3 linked regions of the Pelodiscus sinensis genome follow. The main gene of each other region encodes a partner of the protein of the gene in region 2 in a complex. Links are inferred from orthologs where the notes say so. Each region holds a gene or a part of one and is shown on either strand. Other genes may lie near its edges.

Region 1 (7,857 bases), on a different chromosome or scaffold from region 2:
TTGGCTTAACTGAACTGTAATTTCCTTTGGTAAAAGTTTCTGAACAAGAGATCCTTTGTCAGTGGCAGAAAAACTAATCTTTTATCTGTGCTTAGAGGTCATTTAGTGAGACGTGCAACTTTACAGTAGTTTCTCAGATTTTATTTTGTGTTCCAACCTTAATCCAAATGAAAGATCAAATTGTACTTTCATTTACACACACATGCAACTAACTTCCCATGTCACAGACTTCCATGGGTATAAGTGAAGATAGAATCTATTTTTAATGCAACTGTTAAGTAGAATTACATGTAACAGTTAAATAGAATAAAATAATATATTGGTATCAACAATACATAATTTAAAACAGAATTTCACTCATTCTTGTTGACATATTAGTCGTGGATCTGCATGCAAACATGTTTATTTTTCTCTTTCACGGGTGCAGATCAGCAAAAACACAGATCTGAATTGTGGCCTCTGGTGTTGCTTCCGTACACCAGCTCCACAAACATACAAAAGTCACAAACCAAAGTGGCTCCTTATGGAGGATACCTCAATTGGAATAGGGGGTATAGGAGGATGGAAGCAAGAACTTTGATCTTCTATCACACCTGGCACAGGGGCACACCAGGGAAGGAGCAAAGAGGCATGACTGCTCCAATTATTCTGTACTGCTATATGTTTCTCGAATGGGCTGTTGCAGCAGAATGAGAGGGAAGAGATGTGAAGTATTCAATAGTACAAAAATGGCTTAGTCACTCTAGCCACTCCCTCAAAGACAGCCTATATTGAACTCAGTCCAATCGCAGGTCAAAACACAAGGGCCAATGTGCTCATTCATTTAGTATAGAAGATACCAAATACAGGATGTCATTGCTTCGTAAGAAACTTGATATTAAACTGTTTTCTCAGTGACATTTAGTTTGGTTCATTGTTAATTCAAAAATAAAGCCAAAACCAAAAACACAACCACAAAACCAAAAAACCCCACCCCATAAAAATTAACTGAAGTTATTCCATATTATGTCATTTAATAGTACTGAGTACATCTTATTGAATTAGACATTAGCTTGTTACATATGCAACAATTAATAAAGGATAAGAACTATTGCCATCATAAATCTTATTTTATAAGGCTACAATTTGGACATTTTAATTAACTCCAAGCTGAAACTTGGCATACAATTCCAATACGTAACAGTACATTTTAGTCTACCAAATTACTAAAATTAGTTAAACCTGTTTCTAGTGCAGAAGGTTAAAAAGAGAAGGGGGGGCATTCATTTCATGACTAAATTTCTTTATGAATTTAGAACTATTTGCATGGATGGCTTCAGTATGCACAAACCCCTACTGAACTCAATGGATATGTCAATGCATATCAGTGTCCCATGGCCTGCACTTTTGGGCTCACACTTGTTTGTAATATCACCTGTATATTACATGTAATGGAATTTAAGTTTTCAATTTGTCTCTCAACATTAATATTGTCTTTTCTTTTCTTTTTAGAAGATGGGCAGGTTAGGAGGGGAGGAGACAATTACCTTTACTTTGATCAGATGTTGCCCCACACTGAGCTAAAGACAATTAATGAATTTAATGTTTTTATTCCAACTATAAACTGTACCTTTGCGCCACCATTAGTACTGCAAAGATCTCTATTACCCATCCTAAAAACAGCACATTGGAATAACACACTAGTGCAAAGAGAGTGTGACACCATGAAATTATGTGAATTACTTTCACCCCCTTAATTGTATGGGTTGCTCTCCCAGGAACGCTGAAGTTCTTTTTTTATAGACAGTCGATTCAAGGACAGGGCCAGACAGTAGGTAAAATAGGCCAGCTGCACCTGACCTCAAGAGAGGCGGCGTTGCAGGGGCATACCGGGGAAGGCACTTGCAGGCATCCCCGACCTGTGTGTCAACCTATCGCTGTCAAGCGCTAGGCTCCCAAGACTTACGGCTCCTAAGCGGCGAGCAGTTTCTTATCAGTCAGGAGCGCTGCGCCTTTCAGGCGCCACTTTCTCCAAACGTGCCCGGCAGCCGCTCACCTGCCACTGCGCCCCATTCAACCCACTCGCGAGCGCGCAAGACACGCGAAGGCAGACAAAGCACGGCAACTTACGGCGCTGGCACAGCCCCGGCACAGCGGCGAGCACACGGGCTGCCCGCAGCACGGGGCCTGGCCCTCGCTGGCATTTCTGCAGAGAGACGATTCCAGCAGTCAGAAAAGCCAGGAGTGGGATCCACATAATGCGAAGCAGACGGCACCTCTCCCTGTCCTGGCGGCCAAGTCTCGGCTGAGCGGCTCGCTCGCTCTCAGCCCCGCCGTGGCCTCGGGTGGCTGCGGGGGAGGCGAGGCAGCTGCGGCGGCAGCGGGCGGAGGAGGAGGGGCGCGCCCTGCGCAGGTAGGAGGCACAGCAGGGGCAGCGCGCGGCGCCGCATGTCAGGGGGAGCGCAGGGACCCCCGAGCGCCGCGCAAAGCCACTTGGCGGCGGCAGGCGGCGGGTCCTTTCCGCGCAGGGACGGCGGGTGCCTCCATCCGCCCCCGGCCCGGCTCACAAAGGGCTTTTGTCTCCCTCTGCCCGGAGGCGGCGGCGGGCACTTGGCGCAGCCCCAGAACCAAGAGCGAAGCAGCTGCCCCCCGGGCCGGGCCCGCCAGGTGGCTCTGCCGGGGGAGGGTCAGTGGCCCGGGGCTGCCCCTCCCCGGGAGCAGGGAGGCTCCGCGGCGGGCGCTGGGGCTGCCGGTGCCGCTCGCCCCCCGCCGGCGCGCGGCGTGTCCGGCTCGCAGGGTCCCGCGTTGCTAGGAGACCACCAGCGGCAGGGGCAGCTGCGAGCTCGTCCGGCTGCGGGGCGCGGAGCTCCGGGGCGGCGCGCGGGGCGGGGCGACAAGTCTCCGCCCCCCCGCCCTGTTCCCTTTGTTGTGCTGGGCCGCGGAACCCGCCTGCGGTGCTGCCTCGCTCCAGCCCAGCTCCTCAGCCTCCCGGAGCCCAGCGCCAGCATCCATCCCTCTGCGCCTCCGCCCCTCGCCCCCAGCGCGGCACCTTCCCTCAGACAGCCACGCTGCACCTCCTCCCCTCGGCGCCCCTCTCATCCCCCCCCGCTCCCTCGCTCCCCGGTCCCACTCCCAGCATGGCATCTTCCCTCCCTCGGCCACTCTGGCCCTCACCTCTCGGCGCTCCCGCCCCCATGGCACCTCGTCTCCCGGCACTTCCCCCTCTCCGCCTCCCTGCACTGTCCGCACAACTGCATCGTCCCTCCAGTCCTCTGCACGTCCTCGAGTGCACCGTCCCCACCACGGCACCTTCCCCTCACCTCCCTCTGTGCCAGTCCCTCTGCACCGCCTAGCTTCTTCCCCCTGCACCCATCCCTGTGGCACCGCCTCCTTCTTCACCCCTGCACGCTCTTACTCCCCACTCTCATCCCTGTGGCACCTCCTCTCCCACCTGCGCCCATCCTTACGTCACCACTCCTCACCCTGGTGCTCTTTGTGGCCCTATCTGGAGTCCTTTATCCCATGTCTACCCCCTCTTGCCCATATCCAGGACACATCACCACCTTTGCACCCCATCCCCAGGGCACCTTCCATCCCCTTCATGTTCCAGGGATGCAGGGATTCATGTTCCATCCTCTACAGTTCCAGGATCCTCCTAGCCTCCCGTCTGTGCAAACATGGGGAGAGGACAGTACACCTCAGTCAGATCCTGCAGCTAGGGCAGATCTGGCAGCATTGTGGGAACCATGTTACTCTGGCTCCCACCAATGTGAAGCATGAAGCCTGATCAGGGTATTTGTGCAGAATGTTGTTATTTTCCCTTGCACACATGCATTTTCTCAACCCCTCCCACCTTTGAATAATTCTCTGCTCTCTCCCACATCCCACCACAGGTGCTGCCCAGTTCTAGCTCCCAGTTCACCACCACTTGATTGCCTAGCGCCCTCTTCTCCTAAGATACCCTGTCCCCGTTGGTAGTGCCTGTGACTCCATGACAGTGATCGCCAACCTTTTTAAGCACAAGATCACTTTTTTGAGATTAAGTGCAATCCACGATCTACCTCAAACCCAAATACCCCTGCCCCACCTCCTTCATGCCCTTTCCTTGAGGCCCCGCTCCTGCTCATTCCTTCCTCCCTCACTCCCCCATTCTTCCTCCCTTTCACTAGTCTGGGGCAGAGGGTTGGGGTGCAAGCTCTGGTCTTAGGTCAAGGGATTTGGAATGCGAGGGGCTCTGTGCTGAGCCTGGGGCAGGAAGTTGGGGGGGCAGAAGGGCGTTCAGGGTACAAACTCTGTAAGGGAGTTTGGATGGGGGGGACTCAGGGTTAGGACAGGGGCTTGGGGTGCACGAGGGGGTTTATGACTGGGGCAGGGGTTCAGGATGTAGGCTCCAGCTGGACACTACTTACCACAGGTGGTGCAGTGGGGCTAAGGCAGGCTCACCTCTGTGCTGGCCCTGCACTACTCTCAAAAGCAGCCAGCAAATTCCATCCCAAGTCCTGTTGTGCCCCCCTCCATTCTGTGGAGATAAACCACAGGATGGGAGAGGGAACACCCTGACATTAGTGCCCCCTTCTTTTCCTTCCCTGCTCTGCCCAGCAAGTGGGGGATGGGGGAGGGGCAGCTCCAAGGCAAAGGGCAGGAGGTGCACAGCAGTGCGGGGACGGGCAGCTGAAGTGCCAGCGTTTGATAGCCTCTTGGACAAACCAGTCAAAATCACCTGCCAGAGGCTCCAAGATCTACCAGTAGATCCCAATTTACTGGTTGGTGACCACTGCTCTATGGGAATACCCTGGCCCCCTTCCATGCCGCTCTGTTAGTTTTCTTTTAATACTTATTTTATCCCCTTCTATCACCCCTCTTAGGCAATCTTCTATTCTGGGTTTCCACCCCCTCACAAAGTAGGAGTGTTCAAAGGAGTGTTCAAAGGTTAACACTACTCCTGAGTGAGTTAGTAAGTGAATGGAAAGTACCTTGCTTTCAAGCAAAAGCTAGGAAACTCCCTCCTTATCCCCAGGTGCATTTTGTCACTTCAAATCTTCTTAAGAGTTAGAATAATTAACAATTTATTAAATCATTTATTTGGGGCTCAGTTTCCAAAAGACTATGTGCTACCTTGTTTATAGCTGAGACCACCAGCATCTAATTAGCCATGTGTGAAGTTAGATATCCATGAAAACTTTACAAGCTATCTGCAGATACACATACATATCTGTACAACTTGTTCTTTATCAGTCAAAAGTTCAAGGGTTCTGAATACTGTCATGTTCCTTCAATTTCTGTTTTTCTTGATTAATTAGATTGTAGCTCATTAGGGGTAGAGAATGTCTTTTACTTTGTATTTTTAAATGGTGTCCAGCACAATTAGACCCCAGTCATCTAAACACAACTTTAATACAAATTAATAATTTAAAAATTTACCATCATACTTAAGCTTCCATTACTGTTGAACTGGCATCAGTGCACATGTAGGCATGATACTCATCCAGAAATTGTATCAAAGTTTGTCTTTGTGGATAAGTATAGAATTAATAACTCATTCAAATGTAACTAAGACATAATTCTAGACAAAGTAATACCTAACAATACTTTTACATCTAATACCCTTAACAATGTGCAGTGTACTAAGCCTCACAACAATACTGGATATCTTATTATCCACATTTTAGAAACTGGAAAAAATAAAGCTTAAGTTAAATCGCTTGCCCAAGATTCTGGAGGAATTCTGGGGCAGACATGGAAATGGAACTAATCTCTCCACTGCCAGACAGGTGTTTTAAAATATTACACCATTATTCTGTTTCCCTTCCTAAAATTAATTTTGGGTATCAGACCTCAACCTGTGAAAGCCCTAATGTGGGATGCAAACTTACCTGTAAATAATGGGAATAAAAATTATTCATTCAAGGAGCTTAGTGCTGTGGGATTCATTTGTTTGGCATAAATCCAGTTTCTGAATTTATAATTCTACAATTCCAGTTTTTAATGTAAATACTGTAAAACAATAAAAGTGAAGGTTTATATGAACCTATGTAAATTAGACTGAAATGAGAGACATTTGTGAAGCATATTGGGAACACCCTAAACTTGGTTCACTTCTATCTATAATATTTAAATCATTGTGTCAAGACAATCCAAACGCATCTGGAATATTTTAATTAGTCTGCAAAACCTGAGAACATCCTGCAATGGCATCCTGATTACAGATGACCTGCGTGATCAAAAATCTGTTAAAAATTGTCTGAGTGGCTAATATCTTTCTGACTGTAGCCTTGGAGTTTTATATACAAAGAAAAGCTTGTTTTCTACTTTAAAGCAAATATTATGTCAGAAAGTTGTATTAGAAGGGAATATAACTTAGCAATTTTATTTGTTTAAGGATATCTCACAGAATTTTCACTCTTTCACTTTCTATCACAGCACTGGCTATGAACTCTAACACTATTTAGTTGTGGAAGGCCTTACATATCACTCCCCCATCAGTAACTGGAATATGTGAGTGGTACAGCCCACTAGTAATTTCATTTGTCAGTTTCTTTTTTGAGTAAAATAATGAAATACTCACTTGTGCACAACTATAAAGACTATATTTACCACCTTAAAAACAAAATTTCTAAAAGGGGAGGTGAGTGGGTGGGTGAGAACCATATATGATGGTCTCTGCAGACAAGGACAATTACAGTGTAAGAACTCTTCATCAGGGGATTCTTACTCTAGGGCCATGTCTACTCTACAGATAAGATTGAAGTAGCTGTAATCAATCTCCCAGGGTTCAAATTAGTGGGTCTAGTGAAGACACACTAATTTGAATTGAGAGGGCGCTCCCATCAATACTGATAGTCCTACTTCTGCAAGAAGTAAGGGAAGTTGAAGCAAGAGTGTGCTGCCTTTGACTTTCCACAGTATAGACAGTGCCAAAATATGAGTTAAGATACTTCAATTTAAGCTATGGAATTAACGGAGCTAAAGTTGCGTATCTTAATTCGAACTTATCACCTAGCGTAGACCAGGGCTAAGGGTTAGGTAGCATGAGGAATAGCAGTACTACTCACTAGACCAGACAATGATGAAGATACAGGGTGATGATAAACAAACAACATATTTGATTGAATCAACAAAAGGATCAGGTACCTCCAACAGTGTGAAAACTAAATCCAAAGAGCTTCAAGGATGCATCCCATAAAAAGAAAAAAAGTTCTTAAAAGCAAAAGCACAGGACTTCCCAACAGAAACAAAAGCACCAGGGCAGGGAGAAAGTTTGAACCCCTCTACTTTGGAGATTGGCCTTTGAGCTTTTCATAATTGGAGCCCTACAAACCTGCAGATATATGCTTTATATCCACAGATGCAGATTTTGAGGATTGTGGATCAAATGGGGATAAACAATTTGTATCTGGGCAGATCTTTTTTTCAGTGGCATAGCTAAGACAGGAAAACTGAGTGCACACTGATCTTTGCATGAAAGAACAGGCAACAATGGCCTCCCACTCCTCACTCCAGCCAACCGTTATTGCTCAGCATGCAAGAGAATACGAAGCTGCCCAGGGCACATAGTCTGCAGGGCACATCCATGGGGCAGAGGGGACCCACCAGGGTTCAAGCTCTGTTTGCTACTCCCAACACCAGCTTGGTGTTTGTTGACACAGCCTGCCATTTCCCTCTCCTGATGGCACTGTGCGCTGCCCTAGTCTCTGGTCCCACTGGTACCACTCAGCCTTGCTAACAAGTGGCACACCCCTCACTTGGAACAACTAACGCATTCCCAGCCTATGGATTCAGGGCTGTGGGTAGGCCTAGATGCTAAGTGAAAGGACTGCAGCCCACCCATGGCTAGTGTTCCTTGAAAGGTGAGCACTTGGGTGACCACCCAGGAGAGAT
Region 2 (7,525 bases):
TACAGGAGGCATGCCCTTGTCAGCAAGCTTCTCATGCTTCCTGCAAATGATTCAAAATGTTGACTCCTTGTGACAGGAGAGCCAAGGCTATTTGTTTTTCCAAAAATTCTGGAAAATGTGTGTATGTCTAAGTTTTTCCATAGTCCTCAGCATACACCTTTTGTATCATGCAAACTATGGCCTTCAGTAGTACTTTCTGTTAAGTAATGCTGTTGGTTTTTAACAAGCACCAAGGCTCTGTGTATGTCGTTTTTTAATAAAAATGTGTTTTAAATAGTTTGAGAGTCAAGGACTATTTACAGATTAAACTGCCTGCTTCTGGCAGTGGCAACTAAGTGTGTAATTGCAAGCATTAGAGAGAAGTCACCTCCCTCCAAAACATCAGGTTGTGTTTTGCAGCAGCAGCAGATACTCACATTATAGTTTATTCTGCTACAAAGCCTGTTCTGTCTTGACTAGCAAATTGAATTTTAGCTTGCCTTTCTGACTAAAGTAAATGCTTGAGTTGTCTGGTTCCAGCGTGTAGATCACAAGTCTCATTTTCCTACTTAAAACTAAGCTGTGTCTTGCAGCTGCAACTTAAGTTTGTAAAGCTCAGTAATTAGAATCTCATCTGGAGATTTCCCATCTCTCTCTCTCTCTGGGTACATCTACACAGCAGGGCAAAACTCACATTAAGTTACGCAACTTCAGCTAAGTCAATTGCATAGCTGAAGTCAAAATAGCTTAATTCAGCTCTTGGTGCTGTCTACACAGTAGGAAGTTGAAGGAAGAACACTCTCCCTTTGACTTCCCTTACTCCTTGTGAAATGGGGATTACCATGAGTCAGAGTAAGAAGTCCTCCAGCTCGACATTATTTCAAAATAATGTCTTGCAGTGTAGATGCACTCTTCTGAGATGTTATTCCGAAATAACGTTACTGTTATTGTCAGAGACCAGTTGCTCCCCCAATCAGGAAGAGATGTGGGGGGTTAAGGTGCAGTCTACCAGCCAAGCCTTACAAGGCTGGCTCTTCCCCCAGTGGCTGATTCTGCCTCAGCACATACAGCCTATTTGTCTTCTTGCGGGCAGTCTGTCACTTTCTGTCATCCTCACTTGACTGTCAGAGCTCTCTTTAAGTAAGTCCGCCATATGGAGCATCTCCGAGAGCTGTTCAGGGGTAGGGCCCTTTTAGCCCAATACTGCTTCACCATTCCTTTAACCTTAGGCCTGGTCTACACTAGGGCTATGTCTACACTGGTAGGTTCTTGTGCAAGAAGTATTGTGCAAGAACATGTCCACACTGCCATGTGTGAGATGTGCTTTTGCGCAAGAGCATCCATGGCAGTGTGGACACTCTCTTGCGCAAGGAAGCTCTGATGGCCATTTTGGCTATAGGGCTTTCTTGCACAAGAAACCCCTGCCGTGCATCCATACTGCCCTCTTGCACAAGCGCTGTTGTGCAAGAAGGCTTACACTTGTAAAAAAAGAGCGTAGCTCTTGCGCAAGAAGCCCTCTCTTACCATGCCGTACTGTAAATCTTCTTGCACAAGAGTGGGTGGTTAGTGTAGACGTAGCCTAGAAGTTTAGGTTGAACTTAACTACATTAAGTAGATTTTCTAAACACTGAATCTATACCACCAAGGGGGTTTGTAATATGCTGCTTTCCCATGTCTCACACACCGTGCCCAAGCTCCTGCCCTGAACTCCGTTTCTGTCCCTTCTTCCTTGTGTTCACTAAATAAAAACACATTATGTCTCAACAACAGTATCTTTATTGCTTTTGTTGCCTGGAAGAGAGGTTACAGGATTTACAGGCAAGCACACTTAAGAGCAATGCACATGACTGTCATATCATTGTCTGGCCATTCACAAAGCTGTTTTTCAAAGCTTCTCCGATACACAATGCATGCTCCTTATTTCCCTAGTGTCAGGCCCCTCAGGCCCCCACCCTGCATAAAGCTTTCCTCCTTACTTTCACAGGTATTATGGAGCACACAGCAGGCTGCTATAACAATGGGAATGTTGCTTTTGCTGAGATCTAACCTAGTAAAAAACTTCAAAACCTTCCCTTTAAAAGTCCAAAAGCATATTCTAGCACCATTCTGCACTTTCTCAGCCTGTTGTTGAACTGCTCCTTGCTGTGATCCAGGCTGCCTGTGTCTGGCTTCATGAGCCACAGGTAGGAAGGGGTAGGCCGAGTCTTCAAGAATTACTTTTAATGGCACTGACCTGCTATGTAAAAAGACTTTGAGATCTTGGGATGAAAAGCTATAAAAGAGCTAAGCACAGAGAAGAATAATTCTGTGGGCAGGTTGCTAGCCTAGGATTTGGGAGACAGGTAAATGCCCTGCTGTGCCACAAACTTCCTGTGTGATTTTGGACAAGTCATATAGGGTATGTCTACACTTTTCAAAAAATCCCAAACCCTGAAGCAACAGGTCTCACAGAGCCCAAACCAACTGATTTGGGTCATGGGATTGGTGCTAAGGGGCTAAAAATAGCAGTACAGAGATTGCTGTTTGCCCTGGAGCATGGGCTCTTGAAACCTGAACAAAGGTGGAGGGTCTCAGAGCCAGGGCTCCTCCTCTGGTGGAAATGTCCTGACATTATTTTAGTCCCATAGCAAACCTAAGTCAGTTGACCAGGGTCCTGAGATTCGCTGTTGTGGGGATTTTTTGCAGTGTAGACATACCCAAAGACTCTCTGTGCTTCAGTTCCCCTTCCAAAACAGTGATAGTGGTACTTCCCAACTTCACAGGATAATACATGAAAGATTGTGGGGTGCTGACACACTATGGTGAGGGGGGCCATATGGGCATGTAGAATACTTAGTTCCCCTACTTGTCCATGCCTTCTGAATCTAAGTAAGGCTTTATCCAGCCCACCCATAAAAATTGCCCCCCTTTCCACATCCTATCCACTGCTTGGATCCACTTTCTAGCTCCCCCTCTCCCAGACTCTGTTGCTGGCTCTTGAATCCCTTGCCCCAATCCTATTTGCCATTACCTGCCCAGCCATGCCATCCCTCACCTCCACCACCCCGGTCCCTCATATCCCTTCCCCTTCCCTGCTGTATCCCATCGCTCCAGCAGCTCCAGCAATTGCTCACATGGAAAAATCACATCAGCAAAGTATGTCATGTATTTTTAGCTTCTTTTAATGCAATTTAGCAGCTGGAAATCAGCGGAGGCGCCAGCCTCAAGTCACCCGCCAGCTCTCTGCGGACCACCAGCGAGGGCTGCAAGGAGCTCAGGCTGGGAACGGCGGGGGTGAGCGGCTGCCTAGGAGCCGCGCCACCGGCCTGTGCTCCCCGCCAGAGAGCGCCATTGGCTTTCCCGAAAGCCCCACCCTGACTTCCCGGCCCCGGGAGCGCGTTCCGAGCCGGCCCGCAGAGCTGCCCCGGACCACGATTAAAGCCGCGCGGGGCCCGTGCGCTGAGTCTCCCCCCGGCCCCGAACGCGGTGCAGCAGGGTCTTGTTGCGGGCCCAGGCACGTGCCCACGTCCCATTTCGGAACCCGCCAGCCCGGCAGTGGGCTTCGTCCCCCAGGATCACCCCGCGGGCGGGGCCCAGGGGGAGGGAGGCGCTGCTCAGCGGGGCGGCGGGGAAGAACGCGGTCAAACCAGGGCTGGGGAGCAAAAAGTGGGAAGTGGCAGGAGAAGGGGCGCGAGCGGGACGGTGCAGAGGGGAGACTGGGGGCAAAGCACCGACCCTCCCCCCTAGGGAGGTGGGACACCGGCCCGAGCCAGACAGCCGGGCGAGAGGCCGAGCCTGGGATTTGCCCCCCTCCCCTCGCGCCTGTGCAACGCATTAAACCCGGGTTGAATGTGAACGCTGGGCCGGCAGGTCCCTCCCCCACCCTCCTGCAGGCCCGCAGACGTCATGGGAGGGAGGTATAAAATTTCAGCCGAGCGGAATAGAGAGTCAGTGTGTGAGGGAGCGAGGGGGCCGGGGGCCAGAGAGGGCGAGCGAAAAGGACAGGCGCGCACGGGGCTCCGGCTGCGCGTGGGGATACCGCCCGCAAAGCGAGGCGAGGGGCAGCGCTGAGCTACCCCAGGCTCCTACCTGGACCCCGCGGAGACGCCGGAGGGATGTGCAGCGCGGCCGTCGCTTAATTCCTCGCAGCGCCAATGGAGCCAAGCGGCCGCGAATGACAAACCCCGTCCTGCCCCGCGAGGGGCTGTGAACTAAGGGGCGCGCGTGGATAGTGCATGCCCGCAACAAGTGTGCGGAGCCTGCGCCTGCCCGTCCCCGGGGGGCTGCCTGACACGGGCGCAGGAGGTCGCTGCTCCAGGGGACCTGCCTCTGGAGCTGCGAGACTGCCCCGCGGCACAGTCGAGCTCCAGCCTCTCTGCGGTTGTTCCTGGCTTCGTGCGGAGGCGCCCTCCCCTGCCCTGGTCTGTCTGGAGCCCTGGCTCAGCGGGTCCTGCTTGGACACATGGAGAAAGATCCCGGCTCGCCGCGGCACAGAGCCTGTTTCTCCTTCCTAAGTGTTGCCAGCGCTTCCTGGAAGTCCTGAATCGCTCACTGCACAGTGAGTTCATGCACCTTCGTGCCAAGCCTCAGTCTGCAGGATCTGGGGAGGCTGTACCGAAAGCCCTGCCTAGTCTCCTTAGCCCACTTGCGCTTCCTCTGGGGTGTCCCCTCGTTGTGGCTCCCTCTTTACTCTCGCACATGAAGATGCACTTGCAACGGGCGCTGGTGGTCCTGTGCCTGCTGAGCTTTGCCACCGTCAGTCTCTCGCTCTCCTCTTGCACCACCCTAGAACTCGACCACATCAAGAAGAAGAGGGTGGAGGCCATCAGGGGGCAGATTCTGAGTAAGTTGAGGCTCACGAGCCCCCCCGAGACGGTAGGACCAACTCATGTGCCCTACCAGATTCTGGCCCTGTATAACAGCACCCGGGAGCTGCTGGAGGAGATGGAGGAGGAGAAGGAGGAGAGCTGCTTTCAGGACAGCACCGAGTCCGAATATTACGCCAAGGAAATCCACAAATTTGATCTGATCCAGGGTCTTCCCGAGCACAGTAAGTTCCCCATCATCCTCTGCTCCTGTGCATGGCTTTCAGGGCGTCATCCTGGGAGGGACCCAAAACTGAGCAGGAGGTGCATAGTGCATGAAGCCCAGAGGCAAGGCTGCCTAGGGTGGGGAGCAAGAAGGAAGGGACAGCAGTGCCTTCTACTGGGACAGGGGAGGGGGAATGCAGGAGGAATACTTTGCACTTCCCTCTGGAAGGGATGAAGTTTCCTGGCAGGAGCATTCACAGATTCTGATAGCCATTCTGAGGCAGGTGTCTAGTAACTGTGGACACGTCTGCTTTCCCATCCACTTCTAGCAAAGAAAAAAAATAGCAACTCTTTTGTTGTCTTTTTTTAGGTGATTGATCTAGGCCACATTGCTGTAAAGTGTGTGCCTGACAATGCTTATGTGTGGGTGTGTATGTACAGCTAGTTGTGTAGCTTTCTGTACAAAAGTGAATGTGTACACACAGGTCTATTTTTGCATGTGCACATTCTATATTATGCATTGTCTGTCTGTGTCTGCGCACATGTGCATGTATTTTATATGTGAATGTGTGCGCACATGTTTGTCCAAGTATGTGTGTGCACATGTGTGAGTGCCAGTGCGTCTGTTTATGTATCTACATTTTTTACCAGTGAGATAAGACTACGTGTGTTTCAGCCCTATGTGAGGCTGGAGTGACATATGAGACATTTGTTTCTGTGTCTTGGGGTATAGCTGAGTGGGAGTAATATGTTTTCATATCTTCATGGAGGTTTGTACATGGTTGGGAAGAGTCCATGCGTTTCAGTGTGCAGTGTTTCTTGGCATGTGTATTTGCTCATATAGGGAAGTTGTGAGATGTATATGTGCTTTTGCATGCCTTTGAACATATATGTTCAGTGTATGTGAATCACATGATTACAACAAAGATTTTCAAAGCACAGTAGGAATGAAAGAAATCTGGCAAATGCTGAGAGACTGCACAGACGAGAACCCCAGAGTCTGGGAATAGCCTCATGCTGCCTTCATACCATAAGGTGTCCTCATGGACGCTGAAATTATTGTTTATTGGGGCAGCAAGTGTGTATGTTGGGGGAATAGAGTGAAGACAACACTAGAGAGCCATAGGTGTGGGGGTGGTATGTAGAGTGTATAGGGGAGCCTGGAGATAAGCAGTGTGAGTGGGAGGGGTCTGAAAAAAACCTAAAGATGAATTTTAAAAACAATTTTTTTTAAATGGCCAAGTGCTGGCTGGAGAGCAGCCTCCAGCAGGTGGAGGAGTTTGAGCATTGGCAAGCGGCAGGCAAGGGATGGGCTTTCAGTGTCTTGGAATAACATCAGCCTAGACTCTAGCCAAGGAATAGCAAGCCCAGCCAATGTTTGAAGCCCTGATATCCTGAAGAAGATGGGAAGGGAGGAGACACATACACCCGACTGGAGGAGAGAGAAGAAAGAAAAAAGATGGTGAGCGGAGGCGATGAGGAGGAAAGAGTTTGGGGCTTGTAGGCTGAATTCACCCTAAAGGATTAGTAGCAGAAATAAAAGCGTGTCTGCATGCGGAAAACATAGTCCCAGTGCTGGGCCATATTAATCTGTGGCAAAACTCTGCTGGCTTCAGTGGTTGCAGTAGGAATGGATTTGGCTCATTTACTCTGCAGAATGTAGTCAGATGCAGAGAAGACAAAGATACATGTACAGAGGAAGGCAGACATGGAGATGTGGAGAGGTACAGCCACTAAGGGAAGACAGAGGAGATGCTGAGGAAACTCAGATACTAAGGAGACACACACAATGATAAGACACTGCATAAATGCAGAGGAGACTCAGATGCTGAGCAGATACTGGAGAGACGCTCAGGAGAAACAGATACTGAGGGGACAGATAATGAGCAGAGGATCACATAGATGCTGAGCAGGTGCAGAGCAGACACCAAAGTAGATGCAGAGGAGATCTCAATGGGACACACACACACCAAGGAGATACTGAAAAACAGATGTGGAGCAAGTGCAGAGCAGATGTTGAGCAGATACAGATGCAGACACTAACCAGATTCAGGTTCAGATACAGACCTAGAGACTGAGCAGACACCAATCCCGAGCAGATTGCAGATGTGGGAGCTGAATGGATGTTGGGACTGAGCAATCCCTTCAGTCAGTGCTGGAGATTCCTCAGTTCTGGAATACAATGGAAGACATGCAGTGATGTCCCAACACAGGGGTTATGTCTAGACTGGCAAGTTTTTCTGCAAAATCAGCTGCTTTTGCGGAAAAACTTGCCAGCTGTCTACACTGGCCACTTGAATTTCCGCAAGAACACTGACTTCCACTGTCTGAAATCAGTGCTTCTTGCAGAAATACTATGCTGCTCCCGTTCGGGCAAAAGCCCTCTTGCGCAAATCAGTGCTTTTGCGGAAAAGTGTCCGTGCCAATCTAGACACTCTTTTCCGCAAATGCTTTTAACGGAAATCTTTTCCGTTAAAAGCATTTGTGGAAAATCATGCCAGTCTAGATGTAGCCAGGGTGTTCCTTGATGCTGTAGT
Region 3 (8,002 bases), on a different chromosome or scaffold from region 2:
ATTAGCGTTTTGCTGAACTGAGTTAAGGCTGGCCGGAACAGGTGCCGGCAGGGCATCAGGTTAGGACTTAGGGTATGTCTACACTACCACCCTAGTTCAAACTAGGGTGGTTAAAGTAGGCAACCGGAGTTGCAAATGAAGCCCGGGATTTGAATTTCCCAGGCTTCATTTGCATTTTGCTGGACGCCGCCATTTTTAAATGTCCGCTAGTTCGGACTCCGTGCCCGCGGCTACACACGGCACGCGGTTCACAGTTAGGTAGTTTGGATTAGGCTTCCTATTCCATGACCTCCGCACTAGTCCAGGAGGCCGCGCGCCGTCTATGTCCCCTGGCTGGCTCCTGGGTGCTGGGGGACTGGGCAGGGGACATGTCGCTGGCACTGACTGCCTGGCTCATCGTGCGGCCTCTCGGTCAGGGGCAGAGACTGCTGGCAGGGCTGTCTCTGGAAAGTGCCGTCTGGCCAAAGTCTACCCCTTTAAGGGCTGGGGGAGAGGAGAGGAGTTTTCCTGGTTGTGACCAGAGTGGCCACCAGGGGGAACCTGGGAAGGGCTAGCCTCCCACTAGTTCGAATTAAGTGGCTACACATCCCTTAATTCGAACTACTTAATTCGAACTAGGTGTTAGTCCTCGTAGAATGAGGTTTACCTAGTTCGAATTAAGCGCTCCGCTAGTTCGAATTAAGTTTGAACTAGCGGTTTGTATGTGTAGCGCCTATCAAAGTTAATTCGAACTAACATCTGTTAGTTTGAATTAACTTTATAGTGTAGACATACCCTAGTAGATAACTATGTTCTTATTGAATTATCATACTACCTAGAAGATAGAGTCTTACATCAGGAACCCATCATGCTAGGCATTGTACAAACATAGAACAAAAAGACATTTCCAAACCATTTACTATAAGCATAAGACAAGTCCACAAATGGAGAAAACAACAAACTGACAGGGGAATACAAGAAACTAATGTGACAATATTGGTCAGCATGCTAGGCGGTGATTTCACAAGATCACACACACCTTGTTTCCTATCAGCTGTGCATTTGTGCGGTTGCTTAGGAGAGAATCAAATGTTTTCCAGTTGATTAGCAGAGAGCCCACAGCTCAGTTTTTGGTTTCTATTGATAGTGCACTTTCACACAGGCCTTAGTACACATAGAAAAATGTGTTTTGTACATAGATGAAAATTCCAGATAGGGTTGCCTGGTCTCCGGGTTTTTTTTGCTCAACAATTTTGATCTCCCCCTTTTTTTCCTCAACAGAATTTTTTCCCTGGTGGTTTTTTTTTTTTGGGTGTTCAGTATTTTTGGTTAAACCATTCTGGCAACCCTAATGACAGATTCTGTCACAGAAAACTGTACGGATTGCATAATACATATTCTCACTCTTACTTTGTACATACTGGTGTTTCTATCTAAGGTATCAAAGAGTCACTGCTGTTTTCTTTGGGGATCGCAAACTTCATATATATTTAACCTATTTCTCCCAAAGCAACTATGACAACATTAACCATTTATAATTAACAGTATTTTTAAGTATTCAGTCATAACATTTTGTTCCTGTGCCATACAGCACTGTATATACAATTGTTGAAGAAAACAACAGCTGTGACCACTGAAAAGAGAACACTTCCTAAACTTCTTTTCTAGATACATCTGAAGTTTGCATTATTTGGCCTCCCTCACCTATGTCTGACTAAAGTTTATTATTCACCCTTTTGACTTAGAAATAAATAGGCAACTCCAGTCTGTGAATAAGGAAATGAAAACCGTTAATAAGGAACTGGAACAAAGTAACCAGCTTTAGCATTGTTTTATATATTTTCAGTTGTCCAGGAAATCCTGACTAAAGTGAGTTTGGGCCTAAGCATGGGATCTTTAGGTGCTAAAGAAAGGCAGGAACAGGACCCTTGTGTGTAAGTATACCACAACCCAGGTACATCTTTGTGAAAGTACAACTCTGAATTGCATTACTTTTTGCTTGTTAGTATGAGTGCTATATAAATTTTGGTCCAGGTAGTTAATTTTCCTGTAGAGCGATCCAAGCAAGAATTTACTATGTTTTGACAGTGATCCACAAGCCTTCTCACAGAGCAGCCCCCATCTTAAAAAAACAAAAAACACTTGATCTCCAACTTGTGATTGTACAACCATTCTTCCCCTCTCTCTTCATAGCCATGTAACATTCCTTTGGCAACCATAGCAATTATTTATATGGAAAACTAGCATTTGAAATGAATGAATATTTAATTAATTCATAGCTTCTTGTAATCATGCAAGTTAGCATGGGGAAATAGATGAGATGCTACACCATGTGATAAGCCAAATTTCCAGTCCACTAGCAAGTACTCTGTGGTTCACAGTTAGAGAACTGTATTGCTACAATGTACAATGAAAGGTGCTAATAATAATATGTAGCCAAGTTACTAAAAATATGACCAGTTTGCAACACAGTGATGTTACACTATGAATTTATAAAAATACCCCACCTCTCATCTATACTCAAGTGTTACTGAGGCAAATTTTCCACCAACTTCAAGAAGGCAGTTTTGTCTGAGAGAATCTTGAGTAAACAAAACAAAAAGAAGAAATGGAAAAACCTCTTAGTGAAGTCTGAGAATTCACAATATAAACTATGACTACACTGTGTAAATATATTTTAGAACCAAATTTATGTAAAAACATAATGAGATTTCTGAAGTCTAAGTTATTGACCAATTACATACATTGTGTAAATCCTTCAAACTTCATAAACGGTTGATATGGTACATGTACATACACACACACACTGTCCCTTAAGGCTGAGTTTCTCAAACTGTGGGTCCTGACGCCCCGGGGGGTCATGAGCAACTTAAAGGGGGGGTTGCGGTATCACAACATTTGAGGACCCCTGCCTAGGTTTAGTCCCCATATCTGAAATATCCATATCAGCTCTGTATCCATATCAAATGTTGTAATCAAGACTCAGCTGAATCACAACAGAGTCTCCAAATATCGCTGTGTGCAGCAGTTTATTTTCCAGTCCATACACATCTGTATATGTGTGAGGAGAGTACAACAAACCTCAGAGTTATGAATACCAGACTTCCAAATTGACCAGTCAAGCACACACCTCATCTGGACCTGGAAATACAGAGTCAGGTAGCAGCAGAGGCAATAAAATAAAATAAATACAGTAATGTACTATGTTGAACATAAAAAACAAAGGGAAAGCAGCATTTTTCTTTTGTGTAGCAAAGTTTCAAAGCTATATGGATTATGAAGAAAGATAAAAGACTTGGACTTTTCAGCTTAGAAAAGAGGAGACTAAAGCAGGATATGATAGAGATCTATAAAATCATGACTGGTGTGGAAAAAAAGTGATTAAGGAAAAGTTATTTACTTATTCCCACAATATAAGAACTAGGAATCACCAAATGAAATTAATAGACAGCAGGTTTAAAACAAACAAAATGAAGTTTTTCTTCACTCAGTGCACAGTCAACCTGTGGAACTACTTGCCAGAGGATGCTGTGAAGAATAGGACTTTAACAGGGTTTAAAATAAAAGCTAGATAGATTCATGGAGGTTAGGTTTATCTATGGCTATTAGTCAGGATGGGTAGGAATGGTGTCCCCAGCCTCTATTTGTCTGGAGATCGATGACAGGAGAGGGATCACGTGATGATTACCTGTTGTGTTCCCTCTCTGTGATGCATCTGGTATCGGCCACTATCAGCAGACAGAATACTGGGCTAGATGGTCTAACCCAGTATGGCCATTCTTATGTTTTATATTAAGTCAATGTTCCATTGTAAATATTTGAAAGATCAATGATAATGTTTTATTCAGTGTTATTCTTGGTTCTGGACATCCAACATTCTGGTCATCTGAAGAAGTAGGTTGTGCCCACGAAATCTCATGATGCCATCTACATGTTTTGTTAAGTCTTTAAAATGCTTAGACTATTAAACATTTCAGAGTTATGAATCACTTCATTCCCAGGTAGTCGTAACTCTGAGGTTCTACTGTAATATCCACAACCCATATACTAAAACTGAATATACTTTTAAAAGTTACTTCATGTCCAGTGGCAGCATTTTTAGTGACTTCCAGTGCCTATTCACTGCAAACATCCAGTAAATCACATGGTCTGTGGTTGTGATATAAGTGGTGAATGGTTGCATTGTACTGATTTCATCCCTAAAATGTTATGTCTTCTCATCCTGATTCCTAGGGGAGGAGGAAGCCTGGTTATTTGGGCTGGATCAGGGAAGGAAGCTGATGAGTTTTACCAACCTTGCATATCTACAATGTATGTAAAACATCCCAAAGTCATGCTCCTTTACTGATGTAGTAGGTTCCTGAGACAGTTAAAGAACAGCACGTGAGCCAGTTGCACATATATAAACATGTCAATACATACACTACAGCTAGTAGTCATTACTTCATCAATTTTATTTTAGCATGTGAATGTTTTAGTGTACTGCCAGGATTTGAAAAAATGTTCATAAACATATTTGTGAAAACATTCACCATTTTCAAGTTTCTGGTGATTTTGTGCCTAAAAGAACAGGAGAATGTGAATTTCTCCATTTTCATTGCAAACCTCAATTTTGCTTTTTCAAGGCCGTTTTCCTTCCACTAGCAAATTGAGTCCATTTGCAGGCACGTTTTTGTTTATTTCCTTTTAACTTTTTTTTTTCTGCAAAATATGCAACCTATTTTCAAGTCTGGAACAAAACACAAGGGGGGCAGGCGACAAGTGGTTATGACTGTAATGGTTGCTAGTGCCTGGCTTGTTTCTAAAAACTCAGTACAAGGCAGTCTGTACTAACATTTCCTGTTATTACTGTCACTTCAACCTCCCTTCCCCCTTGATTATGTCACCTGCCGGCGAGGTTTGATCTTTGTGGCTCTGACTGCCCCAGTGAAACACACAGGTGGAATGCCACCAGAGGAGCCCTAGTGGAGTCAGCAAGCAGGCCAGTGAGCCGGGGAGCAGTCTGCCCACTTGGAACACATGGCTGGATCGGGCTGATTGTACAGCGCCGAACACCAGGGCCCCTCAATGCACCACTAACAGGCTATTACAAGCCTTGGTCATGTGGCTCTGGGGAAACTCTCCCTACTTCTCTTCCTAGGCAGGGCAACTACGCCTCTACCCACAGCCCGGGCGCGGGACAGGCGCTGTGGCTGGCTAGTGGGTGTTTGCGGTGTCTGCGAGCCCTGCGAGGGGCTGGCCTAGGGCAGCTGAGTGACAGCGGCCAGGGAGGGGCGGGGAGCCCGTACCGGAGCGAGCAAGTCCTGCCCAGCTGTTTGCGAAGTTGAAGATTTCCTGTTCCCCCTGCGGCGCTGAAGCGAAGCGGAGTGAGTCAGCCCGGCCGCGCTGAGTCCCAGAGAGGGCAGCTCAGCTGCAGCTGCCGCGGCCTCCCCTCTCTCCCCGGCCGGCCCGGGGCGCGCAGCCCTCGCTTCCCTCCCTCCTCCCCCAGGAGCCCGACTTCTTGCCTCGGCTTCCTATGCGGAGCGGGCGAGACTATGAGCCGGGATCGCCTCCGGAGCCTGGCGCTGCTGCTGCTCCAGGCTTGCGCGTGCTGGGCGCTCGCGGGCAGCACCAGCCCCCCTCTGGCGCGGGACTCAGGTAAGTCGCAGCCTCCCCCCGCCCCTGTGTCCCGGCTGCGCGTCTCCTCTTCGCCCCCCCCCCCCCGCGCTTGACAGCTGCTTGGCCGAGGGGGCGCGAGCCCGGGCGGGTCGGGGCTCGCACGGGAGCTGGCAGGAAGCGCGGGGGAGGGGGACTGCTGCGGGGCGAGCCCGGTGCGCGGCGGAGTTCGGGAGCGGAGTGCGGGGGGTTATCGAGCAGGGAGCCGCTGCAGCAGCCTCCTCACCTGGCCCCACGGTGCTGGGGACATGCTCCTCCGCTATGCCTCAGCGGGCTGCCCTCCCCCCACGCCGCCCCTTCCTGCCGCTGTCGCCCTAGGGCGGCGAGTGACAGAGCTTAACCCGCTCACTTGCGGGATGCCCCCTGGGGCTGAGCAGCGCTGCTCGGGGCGTTAGGTGGCATCGGTGGCCCAGGAACCTGACACCTGGGATGCAGGCGGATGGAGAAAGTGGCATTGGCGCTCAAGGAGTTCATCTGAGATCCTCCTGTTAAGGCCGCGGAGTATTGCACCCCTGCCTCCCTGGGTGTACCCCCGATTTGCTGCCTCTCCCACCCTTGCCCTGGGTCTAGATCCAGGCAAATTGATCTTGCCAAACATGCAACACTGCCTAAACATGAACTAATTTTTTGTTCCCTCACTATATGCAATTGTCCATTAAGTGCTGATCAGAAGCAGTTGCTGAAAACTCTCAGTTTCTTGCTATTGCAAGTCTTTGGGCATTGGCCGCAAGCTCGTCTCTCCTGTAGCTTGTCTGTGGCACCTACGGTTTAGTCTCCTGAGGACTGAAGTGTCTTGGTCCTTGGGCTTAATATAGGGGTTTCTATAAACTGGGTGAAATGTAATGGCCTGTGATATACAAAAGGTGGGACTTGATGAATCGATGGGCCCTCTTGGCCTTAAACTCTATGAAACTTCAGGTATTCTTTTAGTATTCAACGCATTCCTAAAAGTTAATACCTTTGTTTGTTTGCTTTTCATTACTTTTTACATCCCTGTGGAGGGAATTTTTAATTGTACTGTACATCCCTGGCTATGTTAAGGACATGGCTCGTGTTACCGTTAGCAATATATTTATGTTGTGCATTGGGTGATCAAACTACATTGCAGACTTATGTGAAAACAAGTTTCTTTGGCCTGAAAAACTTACAAGTTGGAGATGTAGCCCACAAAGCCTTATCCAAGTGATACCTCAGTAGGACATTTACATGTGTAAAGTTACATCTTGCGTCTACACTGCAAGACTTAACTCTGAAATAATAGAGCACTCTTCCTCTGACTTCCTTTATTCCTCGTACAATGAGGGTTACAGGAGTCTGAATAAGATGTCCTTCAGCTTGACAGTATTTTGACATTAATTCAAAATAACTGCCTGCAGTGGAGACGCAGGCTAAGTTATTTTGGAATAACGCTAGTTATTTAAAAAAAATATTGCAGTGTAGACATACCCTAAGGCTACGTCTAGATTGGCATGATTTTCCGCAAATGCTTTTAATGGAAAAGTTTTTCCGTTAAAACATTTGCGGAAAAGAGCGTCTAGACTGGCACTGATGCTTTTCCGCAAAAGCACTTTTTGCGGAAAAGCATCCGTGCCAATCTAGATGAGGTTTTGTGCAAGAAAGCCCCGATCGCCATTTTCGCCATCTGGGCTTTTTTGTGCAAAATAGTTTTTAGCTGTCTACACTGGCCCTCTTGTGCAAAAACATTTCCGGAAAAGGGCTTTTGCCCGAACGGGAATGTCAAAGTATTTGTGCAAGAAGCACTGATTTCAGACAGTAGAACGTCAGTGCTTTTGTGCAAAATCAAGTGGCCAGTGTAGACAGCTGGCAAGTTTTTCCGCAAATTTGCGGAAAAACTTGCCAGTTTAGACGCAGCCTAAGTGTCTAAAGGACTAGGCTCTAGAACATGCTATTGAAATTGGGTTGCATAGTGATTGTGAGGGGTCCATTAATAAAGAGATAAAAAAATTCAGATGGTTACCAAATAAAATTCCAAAAGTTTCATTTCTAGCTATTAATTTAACTCCACGGTGCATATTAGCAATAAACATCTATTCTTAGACCTTTAATATGTAATCACTGCATGGACTGTTAGAAGAAGTCTTTTGGAAGCTTTACTTTGAGTCCTCAGTTTTGTTCCTTTGGTCTAAATACCCTGTTTCGAAAAAAAAACCCTCTGTCTTGACGGGGTTATTTTGAGAAAAAACCCTTCTTTCGAAATACCCTAAGCCTCATTTTTTAAGGAGTAAGGGTTATTTCGAAAAAGCGCCCGGAAGCCATTATGCAAATGAAGCGCAAGATTTGTAAATTCGCACTTCATTTGCAATTTTGCTTGGCTGCATTTGCATTCCTCTTTCGAAAGAGGAATGCA

Evidence for each region.
Region 1: the proteins of TGFB3 (region 2) and ITGB8 are in contact, whole or in part, in a cryo-EM structure (PDB 8VS6), measured with the Homo sapiens proteins. The link is inferred for Pelodiscus sinensis from reciprocal best matches to the Homo sapiens genes TGFB3 and ITGB8. Residues at the interface, in NP_001316868.1 of Homo sapiens: Gly262, Asp263, Leu264, Arg266, Leu267, Lys268; in NP_002205.1 of Homo sapiens: Ser156, Ala157, Ser158, Asn161, Arg206, Gln210, Cys211, Tyr214, Leu216, Ser247, Gly248, Asn249, Ile250, Asp251, Thr252, Glu254.
Region 3: the proteins of TGFB3 (region 2) and TGFBR2 are in contact, whole or in part, in a crystal structure (PDB 9B9F), measured with the Homo sapiens proteins. The link is inferred for Pelodiscus sinensis from reciprocal best matches to the Homo sapiens genes TGFB3 and TGFBR2. Residues at the interface, in NP_001316868.1 of Homo sapiens: Arg325, Lys331, Trp332, His334, Tyr390, Tyr391, Val392, Gly393, Arg394; in NP_003233.4 of Homo sapiens: Leu50, Phe53, Asp55, Ser72, Ile73, Thr74, Ser75, Ile76, Glu78, Val100, Asp141, Glu142.

What each region holds. Positions count from the first base shown.
Region 1 is NC_134712.1:201,088,401-201,096,257, forward strand, and holds the start of ITGB8 (integrin beta-8), read right to left. Parts: upstream 3,016-7,857; 5' UTR 2,237-3,015; coding exon 2,110-2,236; intron 1-2,109. UniProt on the Homo sapiens protein: Integrin alpha-V:beta-8 (ITGAV:ITGB8) is a receptor for fibronectin. It recognizes the sequence R-G-D in its ligands.
Region 2 is NC_134714.1:43,366,597-43,374,121, forward strand, and holds the start of TGFB3 (transforming growth factor beta-3 proprotein), read left to right. Parts: upstream 1-4,524; coding exon 4,525-5,008; intron 5,009-7,525. UniProt on the Homo sapiens protein: Transforming growth factor beta-3 proprotein: Precursor of the Latency-associated peptide (LAP) and Transforming growth factor beta-3 (TGF-beta-3) chains, which constitute the regulatory and active subunit of TGF-beta-3, respectively.
Region 3 is NC_134712.1:184,714,824-184,722,825, reverse strand, and holds the start of TGFBR2 (TGF-beta receptor type-2), read left to right. Parts: upstream 1-4,987; 5' UTR 4,988-5,513; coding exon 5,514-5,616; intron 5,617-8,002. UniProt on the Homo sapiens protein: Transmembrane serine/threonine kinase forming with the TGF-beta type I serine/threonine kinase receptor, TGFBR1, the non-promiscuous receptor for the TGF-beta cytokines TGFB1, TGFB2 and TGFB3.